4 linked regions of the Anolis sagrei genome follow. The protein of the gene in region 2 interacts with the protein of the main gene of each other region in a pairwise test. Links are inferred from orthologs where the notes say so. Each region holds a gene or a part of one and is shown on either strand. Other genes may lie near its edges.

Evidence for each region.
Region 1: the proteins of AGTRAP (region 2) and TBRG4 interact in binary tests that used the Homo sapiens proteins (3 or more experiments, as listed by UniProt). The two-hybrid records come from large-scale screens. The link is inferred for Anolis sagrei from reciprocal best matches to the Homo sapiens genes AGTRAP and TBRG4.
Region 3: the proteins of AGTRAP (region 2) and TXN2 interact in binary tests that used the Homo sapiens proteins (3 or more experiments, as listed by UniProt). The two-hybrid records come from large-scale screens. The link is inferred for Anolis sagrei from reciprocal best matches to the Homo sapiens genes AGTRAP and TXN2.
Region 4: the proteins of AGTRAP (region 2) and PBX3 interact in a two-hybrid assay, tested with the Homo sapiens proteins (4 studies listed by BioGRID). The two-hybrid records come from large-scale screens. The link is inferred for Anolis sagrei from reciprocal best matches to the Homo sapiens genes AGTRAP and PBX3.

The regions. Positions count from the first base shown.
Region 1 is NC_090026.1:131,503,242-131,510,454, reverse strand, and holds the start of TBRG4 (FAST kinase domain-containing protein 4), read left to right. Parts: upstream 1-4,206; 5' UTR 4,207-4,286; exon of another isoform or gene 4,287-4,291; intron 4,292-7,213. UniProt on the Homo sapiens protein: Plays a role in processing of mitochondrial RNA precursors and in stabilization of a subset of mature mitochondrial RNA species, such as MT-CO1, MT-CO2, MT-CYB, MT-CO3, MT-ND3, MT-ND5 and MT-ATP8/6. May play a role in cell cycle progression.
Region 2 is NC_090033.1:10,225,201-10,232,630, forward strand, and holds the start of AGTRAP (type-1 angiotensin II receptor-associated protein), read right to left. Parts: upstream 3,001-7,430; 5' UTR 2,839-3,000; coding exon 2,812-2,838; intron 1-2,811. Other genes in the region: draxin, read right to left, coding at 6,753-6,865. UniProt on the Homo sapiens protein: Appears to be a negative regulator of type-1 angiotensin II receptor-mediated signaling by regulating receptor internalization as well as mechanism of receptor desensitization such as phosphorylation.
Region 3 is NC_090025.1:166,647,954-166,655,249, forward strand, and holds the start of TXN2 (thioredoxin, mitochondrial), read left to right. Parts: upstream 1-4,277; 5' UTR 4,278-4,390; intron 4,391-7,296.
Region 4 is NC_090031.1:6,689,067-6,696,020, forward strand, and holds the start of PBX3 (pre-B-cell leukemia transcription factor 3), read left to right. Parts: upstream 1-3,931; 5' UTR 3,932-6,046; coding exon 6,047-6,309; intron 6,310-6,954. UniProt on the Homo sapiens protein: Transcriptional activator that binds the sequence 5'-ATCAATCAA-3'.

The sequences.
Region 1 (7,213 bases), on a different chromosome or scaffold from region 2:
AGGAATCACTTTTTTTCAAGCATTCCAGCTTGTTCACATAGTATTCCATTTTTTTTTATTTAAAAAAATCCTTTCCCTCTTCTTTTTTTCCTTTTTCTCCCTTTCTTTTCTTGACAACCATACATAATCCCTTTTCTAAACATCAACATAGTGTACACATCTCAAGAGTTCCACCATAACACATATACCATGGAAAAGAAAGTCACACCAACAGAGCAACAAAGGATTCTTCATCATGTCTTTCTTCAGAAGGAAGTACAACTATTTGATGAAAATTAGGATTTTGTATTAGTCATGTGTCCTCTGCAAATTTGATGATCATGCCTTCTAACCCTTCCACACAGCTGAATAAAATCCCACATTTTCTGCTTTGAACTGGAATATATGGCAGTGTGGACTCAGATATCCCAGATCAAATAAGATATTGTGGGATTTTCTGCCTTGATATTCTGGGTTATATGGCTGTGTGAAAGGACCCTAACAGGCTTTGGCCTACTACTCTTTCAGTGGTGGGTTCACACTTTTGTAATCATATGTAATCATTTGTAAATCATCTATCAGACAAATGGCAAGTTGTTTAACCTCAGCAGACTGAAAGCCAAAACCAAGGTTACAACAACATCTGTTATAGAACTCCAGTATGCTGATGAAGATGTGGTCTATGCGCATTCAGAAGAAGACCTACAAGTCACTCTAAATATCTTCGCAGAAGCATACGAGAAGCTCGGCCAGTCATTGAACATTGAGAAAACTAAAGTGCTCTTTCAGCAGTCACCAGCCAACCCCTCTCCAACGTCAGAGATACAGCTTAATGGTGTAACATTAGAAAATGTTGGGTTGTTGTAGGTTTTTTCGGGCTATATGGCCATGTTCTAGAGGAATTTTCTCCTGACGTTTCGCCTGCATCAGGAGACGTCAGGAGAAAATGCCTCTAGAACAGTAGTTCTCAACCTGGGGTCCCCAGATGTTTTTGGCCTACAACTCCCAGAATTCCCAGCCAGTTTACCAGCTGTTAGGATTTCTGGGAGTTGAAGGACAAAAACATCTGGGGACTCCAGGTTGAGAACTACTTGCTCTAGAACATGGCCATATAGCCCGAAAAAACCTACAACAACCCAGTGATTCTGGCCATGAAAGCCTTCAACAATACATTAGAAAATGTTGACCATTTCCGCTACCTTGGCTGCCACCTCTCCACAAAAGTCAACATCGACACCGAAATACAACACCGCCTGAGCTCTGCGAGTGCAGCATTTTTCCGAATGAAGCAGAGAGTGTTTGAGGACCGGGACATTTATTTATTTATGTACTTTATTTGTATACCGCTGTTCTCAGCCCTTAGGCGACTCACAGCGGTTAACAACAAGAACAGCAAAAATTCAATGCTACAATAACACGGTATAAAAAACAGTTAACATCATAACACATTATACAATAATATACAATTATTAGCGCTGACATCCGTAGGGATACCAAGGTGTTTGTCTATAAAGCTATTCCCCTCCCAACCCTGCTATATGCCTGCAAAACGTGAACTGTCTACAGTCGTCACATGCAACTCCTGGAATGATTCCATCAGCGCCGACTCCGGAAAATCCTGCAAATCTCTTGGGAAGACAGGCTGGGAAATGTCAGTGTGCTGGAAGAAGCAAAGACCACCAGCATTGAAGCGATGGTCCTCTGACATCAACTCCGCTGGACCGGTCATGTTTTACAGCTTCCCAGTTGTCTGATATTTGTTATTAGCCGCCCCCCTATTTTAGATTCATACATGCACTTTAAACTGTAAGTTTAGTCTGTTTTATCTTTTTAATTTGTCTCTTTTATAACATGTTTTTAATCTGCTTTTATACCTGACCTACTTGGGAACTGCGATTCCCTTCCTTGGGCACCGGTGCCCCATTCTATACTGTGCTGGTCAAAGACCGTAATAAATCATTGATTGATTGACCTCAACTCCGCTGGACAGGCCATGTTGTCCGGATGCCTAACCACCGTCTCCCAAAGCAGTTGCTCTACTCCAAACTCAATAACGGAAAACGGAAAGTTGGAGGACAGGAAAAGAGATTGAAAGATGGGCTCAAAGCCAACCTTAAAAACTCTGGCATAGACACTGAGAATTGGGAAGCCCTGGCCCTTGAGAGCTCCAGCTGGAGGTCAGCTGTGACCAGCAGTGCTGTACAATTTGAAGAGGCACAAATGGAGGGCGAAAGAGAGAAATGTGCCAAGAGGAAGGCGCGTCAAGCCAACCCCGACCGAGACCGCCTTCCACCTGGAAACCGATGCCCTCACTGCGGAAGAAGATTCAGGTCAACAGTCACCTACGGACCCACAAGAATACTGATCATGGGATCGCCTAAGTAAGTAAGTAGTACGAGAGCAGTACGTGTGAAAAAGATCTTGGAGTCCTCGTGGACAACAAGTTAAACATGAGCCAACAATGTGATGTGGAGGCAAAAAAAGCCAATGGGATTTTGGCCTGCATCAAGAGGAGCCTAGTGTCTAGATCCAGGGAAGTCATGCTCCCCATGCTCTATTCCGCTTTGGTTAGACCACACCTGGAATATTGTGTCCAATTCTGGGCACCACAATTCAAGAGAGATATTGACAAGCTGGAATACTGTGTCCAGAGGAGGGCGACTAAAATGATCAAGGGTCTGGAGAACAAACCCTATGAGGAGTGGCTTAAGGAGCTGGGCATGTTTAGCCTGAAGAAGAGAAGGCTGAGAGGAGATATGATAGCCATGTATAAATATGTGAAAGGAAGCCACAGGGAGGAGGGAGCACGCTTCCTTTCTGCTTCCCTGGAGACTAGGACGCAATGGAACAATGGCTTCAAACTATAAGAGAGGAGATTCTATCTGAACATGAGGAAGAACTTCCTGACTGTGAGAGCCGTTCAGCAGTGGAACTCACTGCCCCAGAGTGTGGTGGAGGCTCCTTCTTTGGAAGCTTTTAAACAGGGGCTGGATGGCCATCTGTCAGGGGTGCTTTGAATGCAATATTCCTGCTTCTTGGCAGAAGGGGGGTGGACTGGATAATGGCCCAGGAGGTCTCTTCCAACTCTTAGATTCTAAGTAAGTAATCATTTGGAGGGACGGATCTAGAATACCTCTAATAGGAGGAGTGGGCCTGGTTGACACACCTCCACAACCAGATTAGGGCCCTTGATAGCAGACACCTCTGTCTTGTCTGGATTCAGTCTCAATGTTTTTTCAGTCTCAATCTGCAGCAGGCTTGGGCCAACTTGGGCCCTCCCCCTCTGATTAAACACACTCTGATTAAACATATAAATGTGGCCAAAACTCCCCGGCTCGGCTAGCTTCTTGCATTTTTCAGTTAACACACTCTGATTAAACATGTAACTGTGGCCAAAACTCCCAGGCTCAGCTAGCTTCTTCCAACTTGAGCCCTCCAGGTGTTTTGGACTCCAACTCCCAGCATTCCTAACAGCCTCAGGCCCTTTCCTTTTCCCCCTCAGGCGCTTAAGCCGCCTAAGCGGCTGAGGGAGAAAAGGAAGGGGCCTGAGGCTGTTAGGAATGCTGGGAGTTGGAGTCCAAAACACCTGGAGGGCTCAAGTTGGCCCAGGCCTATTTCACACTATCCAAAGGCCTTTTCCAAAGCCTTCCTTGCCTAGGAAAGGCCTCAAAAAGCAGGAGCCTCTTTTGAGGCCTAGTCGAGGCCTCCTCGCCCGCCCCCGGGCCCTTACCGGACTCCCCCGGCCGCTACATCCCACTCCATCCGCTTCCTCCGCCGCTTCTGCCGCCACCGGAAGTCTCCCTCAGACGAAAAAAAGGAGAGGGAGGAGCCGCAGCGAAGGCCGCTTCCGGTTTGGAAGCGTCACGTGACCCACGGAGGGTGGCACTTCCCTGTCTTCAAAGGATTACTCCTCTCAGAACTTCATTTCCCAGAAGCCTCAGCCAAGGCGGTCAATGGGAAGCTTTCTGGGAGATGGAGTCCACAAGGCCTGAAGAGGCTCAGGATTTTTTTTTGGACTTCATTTCCCAGAAGCCTCAGCCGCTTTAGTCAATGGGAAGGGCTTCTGGGAGATGGAGTCCTTAAGGAAGGAAGTGACGCCAGGAGTCCACAAAGCCTGAAGAGGCTCCCTCTCAGGATTTCTTGGACTTCATTTCCCAGAAGGCTCCGCCGCTTTGGTCAATGAAAACGGTTTATGGGAGATGTAGTCCAGAATTGCCTGAAGTCTATTTTATGGAAGGAAGTGACGCCATCGGTCAGCGACGCCGCCTCGTTTCTGCCTCCCGGCTTCCTGGCGTGGTTTCTTCGAGGTCAGGTGAGGGGCTGGAGGGCAGTGGGAGCGACTGGGCCGGACTGGGAACTACTGGGAAAAGCAGATAGCCTCAAGTGGTGGTTTGGGCCACTGAGCTAGGCCTCAGTGGGGATTGTGGCACCACTTTCAACTGCTTTGGCTCAATGCTGTGGAATCATGGGAGGTGTCGTTGGACGAGGCCTAGAATCCAAAGGGTATCAAACTGCGTTAATTCCACAGTGTAGACAAGGCCTGGGCCAACTTGGGCCCTCCAGGTGTTTTGGACTTCAATTCCCACCATTCCTAGATTTATTTATTTATCGTGTCATCCGCAACCAGACCATTGTATTACATTTCTAACACAACAAAACAAACAAACAGATTAAAAAAGCACAAATTTTGCAAACTTGGTAGTTGATTAAATGTCTTTTGACCAGTATCTGGCTCCTTGGAGTGCCTCTGGTGTTGCCGCAAGAAGGTCCTCCATTGTGCATGTGACGGGGCTCAGGGTGCATTGCAGCAGTTGGTCTCTGGTTTGCTCTTCTCCGCACTCGCATGTCGTGGATTCCACTTTTGGCCCCATTTCTTAAGGTTGGCTCTGCATCTCGTGGCGCCAGAGCGCAGTCTGTTCAGCGCCTTCCAAGTCGCCCAGTTTTCTGTGTGCTCAGGGGGGAGTCTCTCATTTGGTATCAGCCATTGATTGAGGTTCTGGGTTTGAGCCTGCCACTTTTGGGCTCTCGCTTGCTGAGGTGTTCCAGCGAGTGTCTCTGTAGATCTTAGAAAACTATTTCTAGATTTAAGTCATTGACGTGCTGGCTGATGCCCAAACAGGGGATGAGCTGGAGATGTCTCTGCCTTGGTCCTTTCACTATTGGCTGCAACTTCCCAGCGGATGTCAGGTGGTGCAATACCGGCTAAACAGTGTAATTTCTCCAGTGGTGTGGGGCGCAGACACCCTGTGATAATGCGGCATGTCTTATTAAGAGCCACATCCACTGTTTTAGTGTGGTGAGATGTGTTCCACACTGGGCATGCATACTCAGCAGCAGAGTAGCACAGCGCAAGGGCAGATGTCTTCACTGTGTCTGGTTATGATCCCCAGGTTGTGCCAGTCAGCTTTCGTATGATATTATTTCTAGCGCCCACTTTTTGCTTGATGTTCAGGCAGTGCTTCTTGTAAGTCAGAGAACGGTCCAGAGTGACTCCCAGGGATTTGGGTGCGCTGCAAGGCTCCAGTGGGATTCCTTCCCAGGTAATCATCCTCAGAGCTCGGGATGCTTTTCTGTTCTTGAAATGGGAGGCACATGTCTGTGTTTTAGATGGGTTGGGGATCAGCTGGTTTTCCCTGTAATAGACAGTAAGATATAGGGCTGTATGGAAGGGCCCTTAGACTCCTACATCCCTTTCTCTCTATCTCTGTGCATTTCTTTTTTAGTACCAAAGTGTAGCAATGTATATTTCTCCCTTTTCACTGATTCCGCCAGACATGCCTTTCTGCTTTAAGAGATTACAGTTTCCAGTCAAGATGGCATTTGGGCCAGTCACTCAAATGCTGTGGTATCAACTTACAATCACCATGCAATAATAATAATAATAATAATAATAATAATAATAATAATAATGTTACAATCCCAGGCGACAGCAGGATTGAAGAGAAACAACTGGAAAAGCTGACATGATATGAGGATTTAAACATTGAATCCAAAGACTCTGGCACAAACCAATCAAGGGTGTTCCTGTGGTGATCGGCACACTGGGTGGAGTGCTTAAAGACCTTATTTATTTTATTTATTTGGGGTGCATCTACCCCGCCCTTCTCAACCCCCTAGGGGGGACTCAGGGCAGCTTACAAAAGGCACAATTCGATGCCGACAGTTACAAAATACAATACAATATACAATACACAATTTACCATATACTATCACAGTTATAACTAATTAAAACAATCAACAGTATACTAGCATCAATAAAATATCTAGTGGTCAATGTTCACCAAATCCAAGTCCGTAAACCATTTTGCATTGTCATTGCCTTTCCTACTCTGGTCAGTATTGGTTGTCTTGTCCATCTGCCAGCTTACCCGAAAGCCTGGTCCCACATCCAGGTCTTTAGCATCCTTCTGAAGGAGAGGAGGGATGTTGATGTCCTAATTTCCCCGGGGAGTGCATTCCACAGGCGAGGGGCCACCACCGAGAAGGCCCTGTCCCTCGTCCCCACCAGTCTTGCTTGTGATAAAGGCGGGGCCGAGATCAGGGCCCCCCCAGCAGATCTTAGATTATGAGGTGGGACGTAGAAGGAGATATGTTCAGACAGGTACGCTGGGCTGGAGCCGTAAAGGGTTTTGTAGGTTAAAACCAGCACTTTGAATTGTGCTCGGAACTGGATTGGCAGCCAGTGGAGCTGACATAACCGGGGGATGGTATGCTCCCTGTATGACGCTCCGGTGAGTAGTCTGGCCGCCGCCCGTTGGACTAGTTGAAGTTTCCGAACAGTCTTCAAAGGCAACCCCACGTAGAGCATGTTGCAGTAATCTAGTCGGGATGTAACAAGAGCGTGGACCACCATGGCTAGATCCGACCTTGGCCTGCACTTAAATACAATTGGTGCTTACAAGATTACCATCTGCAAAAGGCCACCCTACTGGGATGTGTACGCATTATTTGCTGATACATCACACAGCCTAGACACTTGGGAACTGTCTGACGTGTGATCCAATACAACAGCCAGCAGAGTGTTTGCTGTAGACTCATCTTGTTGTGTTTCTAATAATAATAATAATAATAATAATAATTTGTTTGTACCCCGCCCTATCTCCTCAGGGTGGCTTCCAACATTATAACAGGCAAACATTCAATGCCTATATAAACAAAAAAAAATCCCAAAAGTTTTAAACGAAAGACAACACTAAATATTGTACAATAAACTAAAATAAACAGTTGCATTAAG
Region 2 (7,430 bases):
AATAATAAATAGAATGATGATGTATATAATAAATATAATATACAGTAATAATTATAATGTACAATACAATAAATATTACATAATATAATCAAAATAATATTAATGAATATAATAAATAGATTGATCTAATATGATAATAAATATAATAATAAATAGAATGATGATAAATATAATATACAGTAATATAATATAATAATATAATTATATTATACTATATAATAATATAATATAATATAATATAATAATATAAGTATAATATAATCAATATTAATGAATATAATACATAGATTGATCTAATATGATAATAAATATAATAATAAATAGAATGATGATAAATATAATAAATATAATATACAGTAATATAATATAATAATATAATATAATTATATTATACTATATAATAATATAATATAATATAATAAGTATAATATAATATAATCAATATTAATGAATAAATAGATTGATCTAATATGATAATAAATATAATAATAGAATGATGATAAATATAATAAATATAATATATAGTAATATAATATAATAATATAATATAATTATATTATACTATATAATAATAATATAATATACTATATTATAATAATATAATAAGTATAATATAATATAATAAATATAATATTAATGAATATAATAAATATAATAATAATCTAAGAAATATAATATAATAATAAATATAAGAAATATAATTTAATCTAATCTAACAATAATATAATAATATTAATACTAGCAATAATGTCCCCAAAAACAAATGTTACGACTAAATCGGGCTTGCCTTGGTCGCTGCAATTCATTGAAAGCAATGACTCACGGCGACTCAAAGGTAAACCATAAACAACATCCTATTTTCCTTGGGTCACTTCTGGATGCTTCAGCTCATTCGCACGGCCGGCCGGCCGGGGATTTATCAAGTTGCATCACACGAGGAAGGAAAGAAAGGAGAATCACAAGAATGCCTTGGGAGCCGCTTTCGGTTGAATTTCAAGGCCGCGCCAGCATCTTCCCCATTTTTGGACTATTTTGCAAAATGCAGGAATTTCCAAGCATTCGGCAGCTTTCGGTTTTTCCATTTCGAAATTGCTTTTCTAGCATTTGCATGGCGTACGGTGACCCCATTAATATAATAATAATAATAATAGTTATTGTTGTTATTACTTTTGAAAACTTTTCCTACCTCGTAACATTGATTTACAAGGACATGCAAGCTGTGCCCCTTATAATGGAGAGAGCGAAAGTAACTTCTCTAAAACCCTATGGGACAGCCAAGGTTTTTCCCCTCCATCCTGGTGCCTCGCACTAGGTAAAACTCACAATTATTAACTGCCCCCCCTGCACACTCGTTTTTAAATACTTGGTGCTTCATTGGTCTTTTACACAATTGTTGTTGTTGTTGTTGTTGTTATATTTATTTACACACTTCTGTGAGCCTTCCCTTATATGCAATCCCTTTGCACAATCCTGGTGCACACTCACCTTACACTTCCGTCAACTCTTCTCTTGTAGATAATCCCTTTGCACAATCATAGTGCACACTCTTCCATTGACCCTTCCCTTGTAGACAAGCCTCGTGCACAAATCATAGTGCACACTCCCCTTACTCTCTTCCATTGACCCTTCCCATGTAGACAAGCCCCTTGCACAATCATAGTGCACACTCCCCTTACTCTCTTCCATTGACCCTTTTCTTCCTGTGCACAATCATAGTGCACACTCTCCTAAAACTCTTCCATTGACCCTTCCCTTGTAGACAAGCCCCTTGCACAATCACAGTGCACACTCCCCTTACTCTTCCATTGACCCCTCCCTTGTAGACAAGCCCCATGCACAATCACAGTGCACACTCCCCTACTCTCTTCCATTGACCCTTTTCTTCCTGTGCACAATCATAGTGCACACTCTCCTAAAACTTCCATTGACCCCTCCCTTGTAGACAACCCCCTTGCACAATCACAGTGCACACTCCCTACTGTCTTCCATTGACCCTTTTCTTCCTGTGCACAATCATAGTGCACACTCTCCTAAAACTCTTCCATTGACCCCTCCCTTGTAGACAACCCCTTGCACAATCACAGTGCACACTCCCTACTGTCTTCCATTGACCCTTTTCTTCCTGTGCACAATCATAGTGCTCATTCTTCTAAAACTTCCATTGACTCTTCCCTTGTAGACACCCCCTTGCACAATCATAGTGCACACTCCCTACTCTCTTCCATTGACCCTTTTCTTCCTGTGCACAATCATAGTGCACACTCTCCTAAAACTCTTCCATTGACCCTTCCCTTGTAGACAAGCCCCTTGCACAATCACAGTGCACACTCCCCTTACTCTTCCATTGACCCTTCCCTTGTAGACAAGCCCCATGCACAATCACAGTGCACACTCCCCTACTCTCTTCCATTGACCCTTTTCTTCCTGTGCACAATCATAGTGCACACTCTCCTAAAACTTCCATTGACCCCTCCCTTGTAGACAACCCCCTTGCACAATCACAGTGCACACTCCCTACTCTCTTCCACTGACCCTTCCCTTTCCATGCACAATCATAGTGCACACTCTCCTAAAACTTCCATTGACCCTTCCCTTGTAGACACCCCCTTGCACAACCATAGTGCACACTCTCCTAAAACTTCCATTGACCCCTCCCTTGTAGACAACCCCCTTGCACAATCACAGTGCACACTCCCTACTCTCTCCCACTGACCCTTCCCTTCTATGCAACCCCTTTGCACACTTCCCTTTCACTCTTCTGTTGACACTTGTAGAAGACCCCCCTTTGCACACTCGTTGTTGCACGCTCACCTTGAGGTTGACAGAGGGGACCTCCATGGTCCTGGGCTTCCTTCTTGACTTTCTTTCTCTTTCTTTCTCTTTCTTTCCTTTCCTTTCTGGTCAGACCCGGGTTCTGCTTTGCTTTGCTTTTCCGCTTCTGCTTCTCTCTGCCTGGGGCTCCTCCCCACAGCCAGCCTCATGACTCCTTCCCCAGAAATTGAGCAAAAAAAGCCACAGCAGAGAAACTCCTCCCTCCACTCCTTCCTTCCTTCCCTCCAAGGGAAGAGGACTCACTCTGCAAGTGTAGACAGGAGGGGAACCTTAATGCGAATTAAAGCCCCCCCCCCTGGTTCTGGGTTTGAGTGCAGACAGAGTGACACTCTCTCAGCCTCAGGAAAGGAGGGCATCACTGACATGCTAAATAATATTAAATAATAATAATAATAATAATAATAAAAAAAATAGTATAATATTCCCATTTCAATAATAATAATAATAATAATAATAATAATGCTAAATAATATTAAATAATAATAATAGTATTATATTTAATATTATAATATAGTATAAAATAGTATAATATTCCCATTTCAATAATAATAATAATAATAATGACATTAAAATATTAAATGATATTAATTAATCGTAATAAATACTAAACTACTCCCATTTAAATTCTAAATAATATTTAATAATAATAATAAATATAATATTTCCATTTCAATAATAATAATAACAATGACATTAAAGTATTAAATATTAATAGTAACAAATACTATACTAGTCCCATTTAAATTCTAAATAATATTTAATAATAAATAAATATAATATTCCAATTTCAATAATAATAATAATAAACAGTATACTATTCCCATTTAAATTCTAAATAATATTTAATAATAATAATGAGGATGACATTAAAATATTAAATGATATTAATTAATAGTAACAAATACTATACTGTTCCCATTTAAATTCTAAATAATATTTAATAATATAATATTCCAATTTCAATAATAATAATAATAATGACATTAAAATATTTAATAATATTCCCATTTTAATTATTATTATTTACAATAATAATAATAAACAGAATACTATTCCCATTTAATTCTAAATAATGTTAAATAATAATATAGTATTCCAATTTCAATAATAATAATAATAATGACATCAAAATATTAAATGATATTAATTAATAGTAATAAATACTATACTATTCCCATTTAAATTCTAAATAATATTTAATAATAAATAAATATAATATTCCAATTTCAATAATAATAATAATATATAATAATAAACAGTATACTATTCCCATTTAAATTCTAAATAATAATAATAATAATAATATAATATAATATTCCAATTTCAATAATAATAATACTTAATAATAACAGGATAATATTTCCATTTCAATAATAATAATTTATAATAATAATAAACAGTATACTATTCCCATTTAAATTCTAAATAATATTTAATAATAATTGTACAGAAGTGTTTATAATAATATGCGTATAACTGTATTTATGTTTGCATTGGTTGCCCTAAGGCTGGAGCGGCCTAGCTGTGAGAAATGTGTTACCATGGAAACGAGGCAGAAGAGGAGGTGGGAGGAGCTTAGAGAGTAAAGGTTTTAAAAAGTGACAGTTAGAGTCAGTCAGGGGAGAAAGACTCTGAGAGAGCAGCAGAGTCAGTTTTAGACTCTGAGGAGTGAAGAAGTGAAGAGCCAGGTTTTAGTGTTCGTGAATAGTAGAGATTTCTTCAGCTGGACCTTAGGGAAGGCTGAGCGAAGGAAGATCGATGCTTTTGAGCTGTGGTGCTGGAGGAAAGTGCTGAGAGTGCCTTGGACTGCGAGAAGATCCAACCAGTCCATCCTCCAGGAAATAAAGCCCGACTGCTCACTGGAGGGAAAGAGACTAGAGGCAAAGTTGATGTACTTTGGCCACATCATGAGGAGACAGGAAAGCCTAGAAAAGACAATGATGCTGGGGAAAGTGGAAGGCAAAAGGAAGAGGGGCCGACCAAGGGCAAGATGGATGGATGGCATCCTTGAAGTGACTGGACTGACCTTGAGGGAGCTGGGGGTGGTGACGGCCGACAGGGAGCTCTGGCGTAGGCTGGTCCATGAGGTCACGAAGAGTCGGAGACGACTGAACGAATGAACAACAAGGAAGCTGAAGGGGAAAACCTTGTTAGTTGCTTTAGTTAGAAAGAACTAACAGAGGCTTGCTAGGATCGCTAGTCGGAGAAAGACTGGAGATCTGTGATTTGATCAAGTATAGATCAAACAGAAAGACCATTCATTGCAGGGAACACTGGTTAATAAAGCGCTTCACCACAGCAAGAGTTCATAAGTTGTAACATCGAAAGTCTGAATTGTATCGCAACCAAGTTACATGTAACCATCAAGTATTTGCCAAGCTTAACATCTTCATACTGCAACCATACGCTTTGTTTAAAAATAAACTTGTTCTCTTTGGTTTTTAAAACTGCCTCATCTCCATTAATTCTACGTTCGGTGCACCCACTCTACCAAAATTACCTCACAACACAAACAGAGCTTTAATACCAGAGCCTTTTACAAATCAGTGGCTCCTCTCTCCTAAATCTAGGCGCTTCCTCACTAGTCGGTAGCGTCTCTCTACAATTGGGTGGCAGCTTCATTACCAGTGGCGGAGGTTCTTTACAATAATAAATATAATATTCCAATTTCAATAATAATAATTTATAATAATAATAATAATAAACAGTATACTATTCCCCTTTATATTCTAAATAATATTTAATAATAGTATAATATTCCAATTTCAATAATAATAATAATGACATTAAAATATTAAATAATATTAATAGTAATAAATACTATACTATTCCCATTTAAATTCTAAATAATACTTAATAATAATAGTAGAATATTCCAATTTCAATAATAATAATAATAATAATAATGACATTAAGTATTAAATATTAATAGTAATATATACTATACTATTCCCATTTAAATTCTAAATAATATTTAATAATAATAATACAATATTCCCATTTAAATAATAATAATAATGATATTAAAATATTAAATGATATTAATTAATAGTAAGAAATACTATACTATTTTCATTTAAATTCTAAATAATATTTAATAATAAAAATAATATTTAAATAATAATAATAATATATAATAATAATAAACAGTACACCATTCCCATTTTTAATTCTAAATAATATTAAATAATAATAATAATAAATATACTTTTCCCATTTAAATTCTAAATAATATTTAATAATAATACAATATTCCAATTTCAATAATAATAATAATAACATTAAAATATTAAATGATATTAATTAATAGTAATAAATACTATACTATTCCCATTTAAATTCTAAATAATATTTAATAATAATAATAAATATAATATTCCAATTTCAATAATAATAATAATAATAATAATAATATATTACAGTATACAATTCCCATTTAAATTCTAAATAATATTTATTAACAATAAACAGTATATCTCCATTAAATTCTAAATAGTATTAAATAGTATTTAATAATAATAATAAATAATATTAATATTTCCATTTACATTCCAAATGCTATTAAATAATAATACTAAATAGTATAACACTGCCCTTTAAATTCTAAATAATATTAAATAATAATAATAAATAGTATAATATTCCCATTTAGATAATAATAATAATAAATATAGTAAAAATAAATAGTATAATATTCATGTCGAACCATGAGGACTAGAAACTTAATTCTTTTTTAGGATCCGAAAGCCAAGAAGGAAGACAAGCCGGTGTGTGCGAAGGATAGCTATCTCTTTATTTATTTACAAATAGGAAACAGGCCTAAAAGGGGGGACGGGGACGAGGGGTCCGCACTGCAGAACTGAAGCAGAACTGAAGTGGTTTGGTTCCTCTGTGCGGACGGACGGAGGGGCGGACGAGGCCTAGGTGGCCATGAAGGAGCCCCGGTCGGGGTCGGCCGAGCCCGGTTCCAGGCAGCGGCCCCTGCGACGCGTCACTCGCCGGTTGCGGTGGAATTTGGCAAAGCAGCGCAAGCCTGGAAGGAAAGAAAGAAGGAAAGAAGGAAAGAGAAAGAGAGGAAGAGTGACAAAAAGGAAGCATCCCCAGAAGAGACGGAGGAGGGAAGGAAGGAAGAAGGGGAGGATGGATGGAAAGGTAGACAGATGGGTGAAGGAAGGATAGAGGGATGGAAGAAGGGGTAGATGAATGGATAGATAGATAGGTGGATGAATGGAGAGAAGAAAGGAAGGAAAAATGGATGGACAGATGGATGGATGAAAGATAGATGAATGGATGGATGTAGGAAGGAAGGAAAGATGAAATATGGATGGATGGATGAAAGAAGAAAGGAAAGATGAAGGATGGATGGATGGAGGGATAGATGAAAATATGGGTAGGTAGATAGATAGATAGATAGATAGATAGATAGATAGATAGATGAATGGATGGATGAGGGAAGGAAGGAAGAATGGGTGGATCAATGGATAGATGGATAGATGAAGGAAGGAAGGAAAGATGAAGGATCGATGGATAGCAGGAAGGATGGATGGAGGAAGGAAGAATGGATGAATGGAGGGATAGATGAAAGTATGGGTAGACAG
Region 3 (7,296 bases), on a different chromosome or scaffold from region 2:
AACAAATGGGAAGAATTCAACACTATCTCTTTTCTAGTTTCCCCATTATTTTTTGCAGATGGAAAGGATAACCTTGAGCCTCTTCGCTTTGCTTGCTCTTCAAGCCCTCCACTTGTTTTTCCACTTTCATAGGGGTTCTGTGACACCTTTCCAGTATTCAGTGGCAAGGATCCATCAACTCCCTTGTTCATCTGTAAAATACAATTGGGCTTCAGTGGCCACAGTGTCCTGTACTCATGGATTCAACTTTCTATGGCTTGATTTTTTTTATCCAAAAAGCATACCTTGATTTGGTGTTTTATATAAGTACACCATTGCACTAAGTCATTTTATATAATGGTATTCAAATATCCATGGATTTTGGAATCTATGGGGTGGGGTCCTAAAACCAAATCCCAGGAGATACCAAGGGCCCACTGTAGCTATATCTTTTATTTCATCTGCCATCTACTTTTAAAAATGAACATGAGGTTTCTGCACTGACAGAAATACTGCTGAAAGCTGTGACCTTTCCTCACAACATGGGCAGGGAGGGTGAGATTAACATAAGGAATCTCTTCCCCATACTAACATGAATGGACTTCAACTTGCATGATTTTCTATCATTGGTTGTCTGGTTAGGGCAGGTGGGCATTGTAGAATGGTGTTTTGGTAGGGGGCATACATTCCATACAAAAGCAAACTACATGTATAATTTGCTTTTAATTACAATTCTGTTTTGTGTTTTATGTTATTTCATTTACACCTGTATGTTATAATTTTAAATTACTTGGTGCTGCTACTGATTTGGGTTATTTTTTGTGTATTTTATGTATTCTGTCTTGCACTGTGTTGCCTTGTAAGCCGCTCCGAGTCCTTTTGGGGAGATGGGCCAAGATACAAATAAAGTTGTTGCTGTTGTTGTTATTTTACTGACACAAAACACAGTATAACGCAGCAAATGAGATATATATGCTGGATTTCATATCATAAAATCACAAGTCTAACACTTCCCAAGCATTTAGGACTGTGTGATGTATTTTCAAATGATGTGTGCAGATCCAAGTAAGGTTGCATTTTGCAGTTGCCAGATCATGATTTTGTCAATGTTTATTGTTTTCAAATGCTGGCTGAGATTTTTTGGCACAACACTAACATTGTCCAAATCTTTAGCACTGATATCAGCATGAAGTTTGGTTTGGACAAATGTTCAGTGGCACTGAAGAAGGGAAAAGTGTGTTTTAACAGTTTCTCCTACCCATATCCAACAAAATAGGTCCTTATTAGGAATTTCCTACAGTTTACAGGAAATTCCATGGTATATTTCTGCAGGAAGTTCCTATAGAGTCTCTGAATGGTCTACACCACGATGGTAGCTTCTGACAGAAGTAATCTATTTCAATAGAGTTCATTATTATTATTTTTAATTATTTTTATTGTAATATAAGCTTTATTATACATTATTTAGTTACATGATCATATGATCACCTTCCATCTTGTTGGCCAGTTTTATTTAGAGGCAATTTGCCATTTTCAAATGTTACACCATTAAGCTGTATTTCTGGCCTGGTGAGCACTTTGGTTTTCTTGATGTTCAATGACAGGCCGAGTTTGTATGCTTCTGCAAAGGTGTTTAGAGTGGCTTGTAGGTCTTCTCCTGAATGTGCACAAACTACATAATCATCAGCATATTGGAGTTCTATAACATGTTTTTGTGACCTTGGTTTTGGCTGTCAGTCTGCTGAAGTTAAATACTTTGCCATCTGTCCGATAGATGATTTCCACTCTGGTGGGAAACTTCCCATCAATAAGATGAAGTATCATAGCAATGAAAAATGGAAAATAAGCTTGGGGCAATAGCACATCCCTGTTTGACATCTGATTCCACCTTAAATTGGTCACTTGTCAAACTACAACTCCCATGATTCCATAGCATTGAGCCAGGACAATGTCAAAGTATTAATTCTACAATGTGGATGCACACTTTTAAAAAAATGTATAGTTTTTGAGTTTTGGCATTCATAATATAGTATTTGATTTAACTGAGATTTGTAACTTTATTGTAATGGGCAACATTTTAAAATAGATATTTGACTGTTCTTTAGAACAGACATGGAATGATATGTTGAAAGACTCAGTTACTGGGTGGATCTACACCAGGGGTCCTCAAATTAAGGCCTGGGGGCTGGATATGGCCCTCCAAGGTCATTTTCCCAGCCCTCGCTGAGGGTCACCCTAAATCTGAAATGATGTCCAAAGAAGGAGCCTCCTCCACCCTCCTCTCTGCCCCAGAGTGTGGTGGAGGTTCCTTCTTTGGAGGCTTTTAAACAGAGGCTGGATGACCATCTATCGGGGGTGCTTTGAACGAAATTTTCCTACTTCTTGCCAGAAAGGGGTTGGACTGGATGGCCCACGGGGTCTCTTCTAACTCTAGGATTCTAGGATTCTATTACTTGAAAGCACACAACAACAACAACAACCCTATTTTATCAGCCCAAAGCAGGCCCATACTTCCCAATGAAAGACTTGTGTGTGTGTGTGTGTGTGTGTGACGGACGACATTTATATGCTGCCTTTCTCACCCCAAAGGAGACTCAGAGCGGCTTGCAATGTATATTACATACAATATATTATTAGCATAGTACAATATCAGCATTAAACATTGCTATATTGCACCATACCACTATATCGTAATATCATTAGTTGTCGCGACCCACAGAACACAGATTGTCTTAAACAGCAATTGAGATGCAAATCTCCTCTGCTTCTGCATCACTCCTTCTTCTTCTCCTACTACTAGTAGTAGGTATGGTGCCAGAATGCTGAGTCTCAACATTAGTAATATTACAAGTAATGTAAATATATAAATATATTATTATTATTATCATATTGCAGTACATTATATAAATTTATTTATTTATTTATTTATTTACTGCACTTGTAGACCGCCGTTCTCAGCCCTAGGGCGACTCACGGCGGTGTACAACATATAAAAACAATTTACAATAAAGGCAATATCACAAACAACAATAACATCACTATCAATGATACAATTGCACTAAATCATTCGCGACGTCTCATCATAGAATCACAATCCAATCTCGTTATCCATATTCCGTTCCAATCATCATTGCCAATTGTTGTAGCACTTAGTCAAACGCCTTCTTAAACAACCACGTCTTTAGTCTCTTGCGGAATGTCATAAGGGAGGGCGCCTGTCTGATGTCTACAGGGAGGGTGTTCCACAGCCACCACCGAGAAGGCCCTATCCCTCGTCCCCGCCAGGCGTGCCTGTGAGGCAGGCGGGATCGAGAGAAGGGCCTCCCCGGACGATCTCAAAGTCCTCGTGGGCTCATAGGCCGAGATGCGGTCAGACAGGTATTTTGGCTGTCAGTCTGCTGAGGTTAAATAGTTTGCCATCTGTCCAATAGATGATTTCCACTCTGGTGGGAAGCTTCCCATCAATAAGATGAAGTATTATCTATTATATAAGATATAATACTATATATTATATAATATATATGTGTGTGTATGATATATATATTATATAATATATAGTATTATATCTTATATAATATAAATAAAGTTTATATTTGTTAAGATTGTTCTTCATTTTAATGATTGTATTGTTTTAAATGTTTTTTGCACTACAAATGAGATATGTCCAGTGTGCATTGGAATTCATTCATGCTTTTTTCAAATTATAATCTGGCCCTCCAACAGTTTGTGGGACTGTGATCTGACCCTCTGTTTAAGCATTTTGAGGACCCCTGACCTACACTGTCGAATTAACGCAGTTCGACACGACTTTAACAGCCATGGCTCAATGCTATGGAATCATGGGAGTTGTAGTTCTACAAGGTCGTTAGCCTTCTCTGCCAGGATGCTGGTGCCTCACCAAACTACAACTCCTATGATTCCCCAGCATCGAGCCATGCCATTAATTCTACAGCATTAATTCTAAGATATAGACGCACCCACTGATGAATGCATAAGTTGTGATTTAACTGAGTTATAGTCAAAACCACGCCGCCAAACAAGCTCAGTTGACAAATCTCCAAAATGTCAAGGACAGACACTGGAAACGCTGACCTCACTGAAAGTAGGCGCTTTCTATTGGCGCAATCAGGCTCTGAAGCAAGGTCAGGCCTCCCCAACAGCCAATCAGCATCCAGGCAAAGGGGGAAAAAGTTACACGACGTTAGGAAGTACAGCCGTCTTAGCCAATAGAGGCAGAGGATGCGAACATTCTGCGCGCCTTAGCCAATCGCTTTCTAGAATTCTGGAAGCCTCCTTTTCGCTAGCCAACCGCCAAGGAAGAAACTCCTTCTCCAGCCAATGAGCTGCTAAGATAGTTGAGCTTTCGGTTCCGTAGGATTCCTGTGCGAGGAACGCTTCGGGGGCGTGAAAGGTGAGAAGGGGATGTTGATTAGTCCGAGGGTATGTCCACACTGTTGAATTAATGCAGTTTGGTACAACTTTACCTGCTCTGGTTCAGTGTTAGGGAAACATGGGAGTTGTGTTTCCTCCCCCCTCCCTTTTCTACAAGGTCTTTTGGCTTCTCTGCCACAAAGTGCTTGTGTCTCACCAAACTACACATCCCAGGATCCCCTAGCTTTGAGCCAATGTAGTTAAAGTGGTGTCAGACTACATTAACTGGACCTCGGGTACATCTACATTTGGCAGGAGGAGGGCCTGTAGGAAGGGCATGCGCAAGTACTGCAGTAAATTCATCACTCAGCCAAGCAGTTCTTATCGAACCCCAAATAGATTTCTCTCTGCCCCCCAATATTTTGTGACAACTATGAAGCGTTAAATCATAAAGATCTGCTTATCTGTGTTGTTGTGCTGCAAGATTGAGAACTGATCAGAATTGGGGGAATCTGGAGTTTGATATTTTAAAAAATGGGAAATGTTGTTGTTGTTGTTCATTCGTTCAGTCGTCTCCGACTCTTCGTGACCTCATGGACCAGCCCACGCCAGAGCTCCCTGTCGGCCGTCACCACCCCCAGCTCCCTCAAGGTCAGTCCAGTCACTTCAAGGATGCCATCCATCCATCTTGCCCTTGGTCGGCCCCTCTTCCTTTTGCCTTCCACTTTCCCCAGCATAATTGTCTTCTCTAGGCTTTCCTGTCTCCTCATGATGTGGCCAAAGTACTTCAACTTTGTCTCTAGTATCTTTCCCTCCAGTGAGCAGTCGGGCTTTACTTCCTGGAGGATGGACTGGTTGGATCTTCTCGCAGTCCAAGGCACTCTCAGCACTTTCCTCCAACACCACAGCTCAAAAGCATCGATCTTCCTTCGCTCAGCCTTCCCTAAGGTCCAGCTCTCACATCCATAGGTTACTACAGGGAATACCATGGCTTTGACTAGACGGATCTTTGTTGCCAGTCTGATGTCTCTACTCTTCACTATTTTATCGAGACTGGACATTGCTCTCCTCCCAAGAAGTAAGCGTCTTCTGATTTCCTGGCCACAGTCTGCATCTGCAGTAATCTTTGCACCTAGAAATACAAAGTCTTATGTTACTTATGGAAAAACTGACATCTGTTGAACAAAATGATGTTGTTGTTAATATAAATATTTTAATATTATGGGTATTACCCTACCTTTCCCCTCCAGAATTGAAACTAAAGGTTCATCTACACCAGGAATGGGCAAACTTGAGCCAATGTAGTTAACGTGGTGTCAGACTACATTAATTGGACCGTGGGTGCATCTACATTTGGCAGGAGGAGGGCCTGTAGGAAGTGTATGGATTGATACCGATCAGGATCGGAGAGTAGGAGGGAATCTGGAGATTGATATATTTAAAAATGGGAAATGTTACTAATGGAAAAAACTGACATCTGTTGAACAAAATGATGATGTTGTTAAATATTTTTAATATAATGGTTACTCTGCTTTTCCTCCCATAATTTATTTATCGTATCAGGAGCAAACCAAGGGTACAGTTGTAATGTATTTAAAAACACAAAGTTTAAAAACTTGGCATTATACTAAATGTCCTTTGACCAGTAGCTGGCCACTTGCAGTCTCTCTCTGGTGTTGCTATAAGAAGGTCCTCCATTGTACATGTGGCAGGGCTCATGTGTATGTCGTGGACTCCACTTTGTGGCCCCATTTCCTAAGGTTGGCTCTGCATCTCGTGATGAGAAAGCACTGTCTGTTCAGCGCCTTCCAAGTTGCCCAGTTTTCTGTGTGTCCAGGAGGGAGTTTCTCTCATTTGGTATCAGCCATGGATTGACGTTCTGGGTTTGAGCCTGCCACTTTTGGACTCTCGCTTGCTGAGGTGTTCCTGTGAGTATCTCTGTAGATCTTAGAAAACTATTTCTTGATTTAAGGCATTGGCCTGCTGGCTGATATCTGAACAGGGGATGGGCCGAGATGTCACTGCCTTGGTCCTTTCATTATTGGCTACTGCTTCCCGGCGGATGTCAGGTGATGCAATACTGGCTAAACAGTGTAATTTTTCCAGTGGTGTAGGGCGCAGACAGCCTGTGATAACCACATCCACTGTTTTAACGTGGTGAGATGTGTTCCACACTGAGCATGCATACTCAGCAGCAGAGTAGCAAAGCGCAAGTGCAGATGTCTTCACTGTATCTGGTTGTGATCCCCAGGTTGTACCAATCAGCTTTCATATGATATTATTTCTAGCACCTGCTTTTTGCTTGATATTCAGACAGTGCTTCTTGTAAGTCAGAGTACAGTCCAGGGTAGCTTCCAGGTATTTGGGTGTGCTGCAATGCTCCAGTGGGATACCTTCCCAGGTGACCCTCAGAGCTCGATATGCTTGTCAGTTCTTAAGGTGAAAAGCATATGTTTGCATTTTAGATAGATTAGGGATCAGCTGGTTTTCCCTGTAATAGGCAGTAAGGGCACCTAAAGATTTGGAAAGCTTCTGTTCAACCACCTCAGAGCTCCCTGCTTGAGCGGTGATGGCGCGATCATCAGCATAGATGAAACTCTCTGTCCCTTCTGGCAGTGGCTGGTCATTTGTGTAAATGTTGAACATTGACGGAGCAAGCACACTTCCCCGTGGCAGGCCATTCTTCTGTTTTCGCCATCTGCTTCTCTGGCTCTAGAATTCTCATAATAGTATTATAATAACTTTATTTTTGCCACCCGTCACCATCTCCCTGAAAGGACTCAGGGCGGCTTCCATGAGGTCTAAGCCCAGTCAAACAGAGTTTAAAAACACAAAATAAAATACATAGACAGACATTATAACACATAATTTAAAACATAATTCATCATACAACAACCATTAGCCGAGCATAATGGATGTTCCCAAGTTGAGAAGCGAGAGAAGGCT
Region 4 (6,954 bases), on a different chromosome or scaffold from region 2:
ACACAATATATTATTATCACAGCACAGTATTAGTATTATATATTATATTGTACTAAGCAATTATCAGTAGGAAATTAATATAATACTATTAGTATATTACAATATTATTATAAAATATTATATGGTTTTAATGTTATATATTATTATATTGTACTATACTACTATACTGCAATATTATTCAAAATATTGCATATATACTAAAATTGTGCTATGCTAATAATATAATACATTGTGTATACATAGAAGATTAATTATAATATTGTAATTATTAAAATATAATAATAATGTATATAATATCTAATAATATAATAATATAATACTAATATCTTGAATATACTACTACTGATAATAAATAACTGTATTATATGTATACACAACATATTGCTATAATAGCACAGTATTAATATTATATATTATATTCTACTATACCAGTATACTGCAATATTATTCATAATATTACATGTAATATTTCATGTATACTAGCATTGCGCTATGCTAATAATATAATATATTGTGTATACATAGAATATTAATTATAATATTATAATATAATAATACTATTATGTTAAATAGAATACTACTGATAATATATAACAATATATAATGATAATACTATTCATAAAATATAATTATAATATTATGTTGTAGTATAGTATTATTGGTTGGTAGGAACCGTCCTGAGTCCTTTTTGGGAAATAGAACGGTATTTAAATAATAATAACTATAATTATACGCTGTCAATAAAGAGCCCCCGGTGGCACAGTGGGTTAAAGCGCTGAGCTGCTGAAAGGTCAGCAATTTGGACCCAGAGAGCGGAGGGTGACCTCCCACTGTTAGTCCCAGCTTCTGCCAAACTTACAGTTCGAAAACATACAAATGTGAGTAGATGAATAGGTACCGCTTTTCTGGGAAGCTAACAGCGCACCATGCAGTCACGCTGGCCCCATGACCTTGGAGGTGTCTACGGACAATGCCGGCTCTTCAGCTTAAGAATGGAGATGAGCACCACCCGCCAGAGTCGGACAGGACTAGATGTAAGGTCAGGGGAACCTTTACCTTTTTAATTATATAATATATTGCGCTATATCATAAGTTGTAGTAAATATACTATATTATAACATCTTTATTATATTGTAATATATTATATTATAACATGCATATTAATATTGTGTTATATTATTTTAGTATTATTACATTACAATGTAAATATATTATATATATACACAATGTAATGTATAACACTAATATTGTCTATAATAACAATATATCGTGTAGACATAATATTGATAATACAATATAACACTAGTCATAATACAATATGATAAGACAAAAGAATAATATTGCAATATAGTAGTACTAATATATATAATGATAATACTGTTTTATTATTGTATATTTGTATAGTTTAAGAGATAGGACAGTATATAAAACATTATTATTATTATATGGTACCAGTAGATTAAGTAGCCCTCGGTGGCACAGCAGGTTAAACCGCTGATCTGCTGAAGTTGCTGACCAATAAGTTGGTGGGTCAAATCCAGCCTAGCAGTTCGAAAACATAGAAGTGTGAGTAGATCAATAGGTACCGCTTCTGTAGTATATAATTCTAATATTGTGCTATGCCAATAGTAAGGTAAAGGTATTCGCTTGACATTAAGTCAAATCGCACCCGACTCTGGGGTGTGGTGCTCATCTCCATTTCTAAGCTGAAGAGCCGGCGTTGTCCGTAGACACCTCCTAGGTCATGTGGCTGGCATGACTGCGTGGAGCGCCATTAACTTCCCGCCGAAGCAGTACCTATTGATCTTCTCACATTTGCATGTTTTCGAACTGCTAGGTTGGCAGAAGCTGGGGCTGACAGCGGAAGCTCATGCCGCTCCCCGGATTTGAACCTGCGACCTTTTGGTCAACGAGTTCAGCAGCTCAGCGTTTTAACCCACTGCACCACCGGGGGCATATAATAATGTAATGTTATTATATTATTATACATTATGTAATGCAATTATATTACTATATATTATATAATGTAATTATATTATTATGTAATTATATATATTGTGTACTGTAATTATATTATTATATATTATATTTATGTAATTATATTACTAGCATAGCAATATTAATATATTATCTTAATGTAATTACAGTGTTAGCATATATTAATATATTATTTTAATGTAATTATATTGTTAGTATAAGAATAATATATTTATTTATTTACTTTATTTATATACCGCTTTTCTCAGCCCTCAGGCGACTCAAAGCAGTGAATATATAATATATATAATATATTATTACCATAGTAATATTATATTAATATATTATATTAATGTAATTATATTATTACCATAGTAATATTATATTAATATATTATATTAATGTAATTATATTATTACCATAGTAATACTATATGAATATATTATATTAATGTAATTATATTATTACTATATGAATATATTATATAAACGGTTCCGGCCCAAAATACCTTGAGTACCGCATCTTGGCCTACGAGCCCACGAGGACCTTGAGATCATCCGGGGAGGCCCTTCTCTCGGTCCCGCCTGCCTCACAGGCACGCTTGGCGGGGACGAGAGAGCGGGCCTTCTCGGTGGTGGCCCCCCGGCTGTGGAACTCCCTCCCCGCTGAAATTAGACAGGCGCCTTCCCTCATGGCCTTCCGTAAGGGCTTGAAGACCTGGCTCTTCGAAAAGGCCTTCAATTAAGTGCTATGTTTTGGAATGACCACCGGAATGGACTATGACCACGAGATTGATTATGACCCTAACAAGACGAAGCGGATTTTTAGTTTAATTAGTTGTGTGTTAGTTGATGTGCGTCATGATCTTGATTTACTGTAACTGTTGTCTTTATGTTCTATGTTCTGTACACCGCCACGAGTCGCCTTCGGGCTGAGAGTGGCGGTTAACAAATGCAAATAATAAATAAATAAATAAATAAATAATAAATATTATTACCATAGTAATATATTATATTAATGTAATTATATTGTTACTATATAAATATATTATATTAATGTAATTATATTGTTACTATATGAATATATTATATTAATGTAATTATATCGTTACTATATGAATATATTATATTAATGTAATTATATTATTACTATATGAATATATTATATTAATGTAATTATATTGTTACTATATAAATATATTATATTAATGTAATTATATTGTTACTATATGAATATATTATATTAATGTAGTTATATCGTTACTATATGAATATATTATATTAATGTAATTATATTGTTACTATATGAATATATTATATTAATGTAATTATATTATTACTATATTAATATATTATATTAATGTAATTGTATTGTTACTATATTAATATATTATATTAATGTAATTATATTGTTACCATAGTAATAATTTATTATATTAATGTAATTATATTATTACTATATTAATATATTATATTAATCCAATTATATTGTTAGCATAGTAATATATTAATATATTATATTAATATATTATTACCCTAGTAATATATTATATTAATCTAATTATATTGTTAGCATAGTAATAATATATTAATATATTTAATGTAATATTGTTAAGCATAGTAATAATATTACATTGTTATTAAATGAGTAAATTGATAAAACTTATTATTTGGAGGGGGAAAAAAAACCTGGCTATAGAATGCAGTTCAATGCAATGCAGTTTATGCCCAAACTGGATTCTCTAGCAGTGTAGATCCAGCTGGATGGGAAGGAGTGCATGAGAGAGGGGGCGTGGCTTTGAGCCGAGGCGAAGGCGGTGCTTGAAAGCCCGGAGCATTCCAAAGGGGCGTGGCTTGGAGCTTGGGGGCGTGGCTTGGGGCGGCCTCTCAGAGCGAGGGGGCGTGGCTTGGGAGGGCCGAGAAGCCCGGGGAAAGGGGCGTGGCTTGGAGGCCGAGAAGCCCGGGGAAAGGGGCGTGGCTTCGACCAGCTCGCTTGCTTTTCTCTCTCTCTCTGGGCTCGCCTCCTTTGACACGTCTGCAGGGTGAGTGAGTGGCATTGGCAGCCTGTCAATCCCTCACCAAAGCGGCCATCAAACAACATAAAACACACACCACAGTCACTGGGGCTGCTGCTGCTGGGCTCATAAATTGCAGCTGGATGGGGTTTCTCCCCCCTCTTTGGCCCTCCTCCCCCTTTTGCAAAGCCGGTGTGCCATTAATTGCAATTTTTCCCGTCTTTGCAAAAGAGAGACTTTGCTTCTTTTTTTGCCCCCTTCCTTAAAAAAAAAGAATTTTATTTTTTCCAATTTTTTTTTGCACAACTTGCAAACTTTGCTGGCGATTTTCCCTCTCCTCCTCCTCTTTTTTCTTTTTTGCAAGCAAACCAGACGCTGGGAAATTTTGTGATGTGGCTTTTTTTGCATTTTTCCCCCTTCTTGCCGTTCGGAGCAACGATGTGATTTTTTTTCTCTCCAAATAATTGGATTGCAAAGCGGTTTGACTATTTTATTATTTTTTTGCAAATCTATTTTCTGGGAAAATAACACCATTTCTTCCCTCGATGAAGGAAAAAAACAAATCCAAGAGGAAGAGAGAGCGAGAAAGAACCACCGGCAACTAACTGTTGTCAACTTTGGAGCCTTTGCCTTCCCGAAATATCTACATTTTTGTGGTGCTGAAGGAGAATTGCAAGAGGGCGAAGGATGAAGAAAGAAGCTTGAGGGAGAAGAGGAAGAAGAAGAACACAAAGCCAATCGTTGGAAAGAGCTCTGCTGGGAGCTGCTGGGACTCAGCATCTTCCTCCTCCTCCTCCTCTTTCTCTTCCTCCAGATTGCTGGGACTGACTCAAGGAAAGCCGCCCAAGGATGAGCAAAGGAGCCCAGCGTTGAGAGAAGAGCTCCCAGGAAAGAAAGAAGGAAGGAAGAGAAACCCAGGAGAGGAAGCCCTGCTTTTGCCTGCTTCGATTTGCCTGGAAAGGAGCAGCCAGGACTGAGCTCGGACTTGCATCTGCCTCCTCTCCTTCTCCTCTTTCCTCTTCTTTTTATTCTTCCTTCACCTCTTCTTCCTCCTCTTCCCTCTTCATCTTCTTCCCATCTTTCCTCCTTCTCTTTTCCACCCTTTTCTCCTTCCTCTTCTCTTTAGTCTTCTCCACTTCTTCCTCCTTTCCGCCTCCTCCTTCCCTTCCTTCTCCTCTTCTTTTTAATCTTCCTCCTCTTCATTTTTCCTTTCTCTTCTTCTTTCCTCTTCTTCCTCTTCCTCCTCTTTTTCTTCCTCCTCTTTTCCATCTCCTTTTTCTTTTCCTCCTCTTCTTTTTATTCCTCCTCCTCTTCTTCCTTCTTTCCTTCCTCCACTTCATCTTCTTCTTCCTCTTCCTTCCCTTCTTCCCCTTCTTCCTCATCTTTTTATTCTTCCTCCTCTTCTTCCTTCTCTCTTTCCTCCTCCTCTTCATCTGCTTTCTCTTTTCCTTTTCTCCTCTCTTCTTTCCCTTTCTTCTTCAACCCCTTTTTATACTTCCTCCTCTTCCTCCTCTTCATCTTCTTCCTCCTCCACTTCCTCCTTCCCCTTTTCTTCCTCTTCTTTCTTCTTTCCCTTCCTTTTTCTCCCTCTTCTTTTTATTCTTCCTTCTCTCCTTCCTCCTCTCCTTCCTCCTTTCCTTCTTCTTTCCCTTCTTACCTCTTCCTCTTCTTTTGATTCTTCCTCCTCCTCCTCTCCTTCCTCTTTTCCTTCTTCTTTCCCTTCTTACCTCTTCCTCTTCTTTTGATTCTTCCTCCTCCTCCTCTCCTTCCTCTTTTTTTCTTCCTCTTCTTCCTCCTCTTGATCTTCAATACTCTCACTCCTCTTCCTCCTTCTCTTGCTTCTCATCCTCCTCCTCCTTCCTCCTCTTCATCTCCTTCTTCCTCCTCCTTCCCTTCTTCCTGATCTTCTTCCTCCTCTTTCTTCTCTTTCCTCTTCTTTTTCCTTTTCATTCACCTCTTCAGCTTCTTCTTCTTCCTCCTCCTCCTCCTCCTCCTCCTCCTCCCCATCTTCTTCTTCCCCTTCCTTCCTCCTCCTTCCTGCTCTCTTCCTGGGCCATGGACGAGCAGACGAGGATGCTGCAGACCTTGGCGGGGGTGAACCTGGCGGGGCACCCGGTTCCCGGGGGAGGGATGCCCTTGCCCCCCCCTCACGGGCACGAGGTCCCCGACGGTGGCGACGGGCGCAAGCAGGACATCGGCGACATCCTCCACCAGATCATGACCATCACCGACCAGAGCCTGGACGAGGCGCAAGCAAAGTTGGTCCCCCCCACTTCTCCAGCAGACAAACCCCCCCTTCCCTCCCCAAAAACCCAAAAGTAATACCCTTGTGTTTTAAATGTGCCTGATGCGCTTCGGTCCCCTTCTGTCTCTGTCTGTGTGCATGAGTGTGTGTATGTGTGTATATGGACCCACAAAATATGGACCCACCTGTGCGGGTTCCTTTGAGGTCAAGATTCCCATCTTATGATTAGTGTGAGTGTAGGTATGTGTGGATAAGGTGTCCTCTCCAGAATGCATGCTCAGAAGGATGGGTAGTCTGTGATGCTCAGAAGGATGGATATTCAGGTCGATGCTGTTGGTTTCATCCATTCCTCCCTTACTGTTTTGCAAGGTCCAAAATGGCCCATCGATGCACTGCTCCTTTTTCTCAGAGCCAAAAGTTGCCCACCTTTATGAGATGCAAGCAAAGTTGCTCTCCTTCAGGAAAGGAATCTGCTTCACAATACATCTCCCCATCCACTCCATCCTTGCATGTGTTTGTGTTGACACAAACATTGAGAGGGACATCTCATCCATATCTGTGGACATGAGATGTCCCTCTCCAAAAATGCATCCTTCCTTCAGCAAGGAGAAGTCCCCATAATCATGCATAAGATGGGATGTTTACCTAGCCGATCCCATTTTCCATTGCCATTTCGATATGGTCCAAAATTGTCACCTGGCAAGGGGTTGGACTAGAT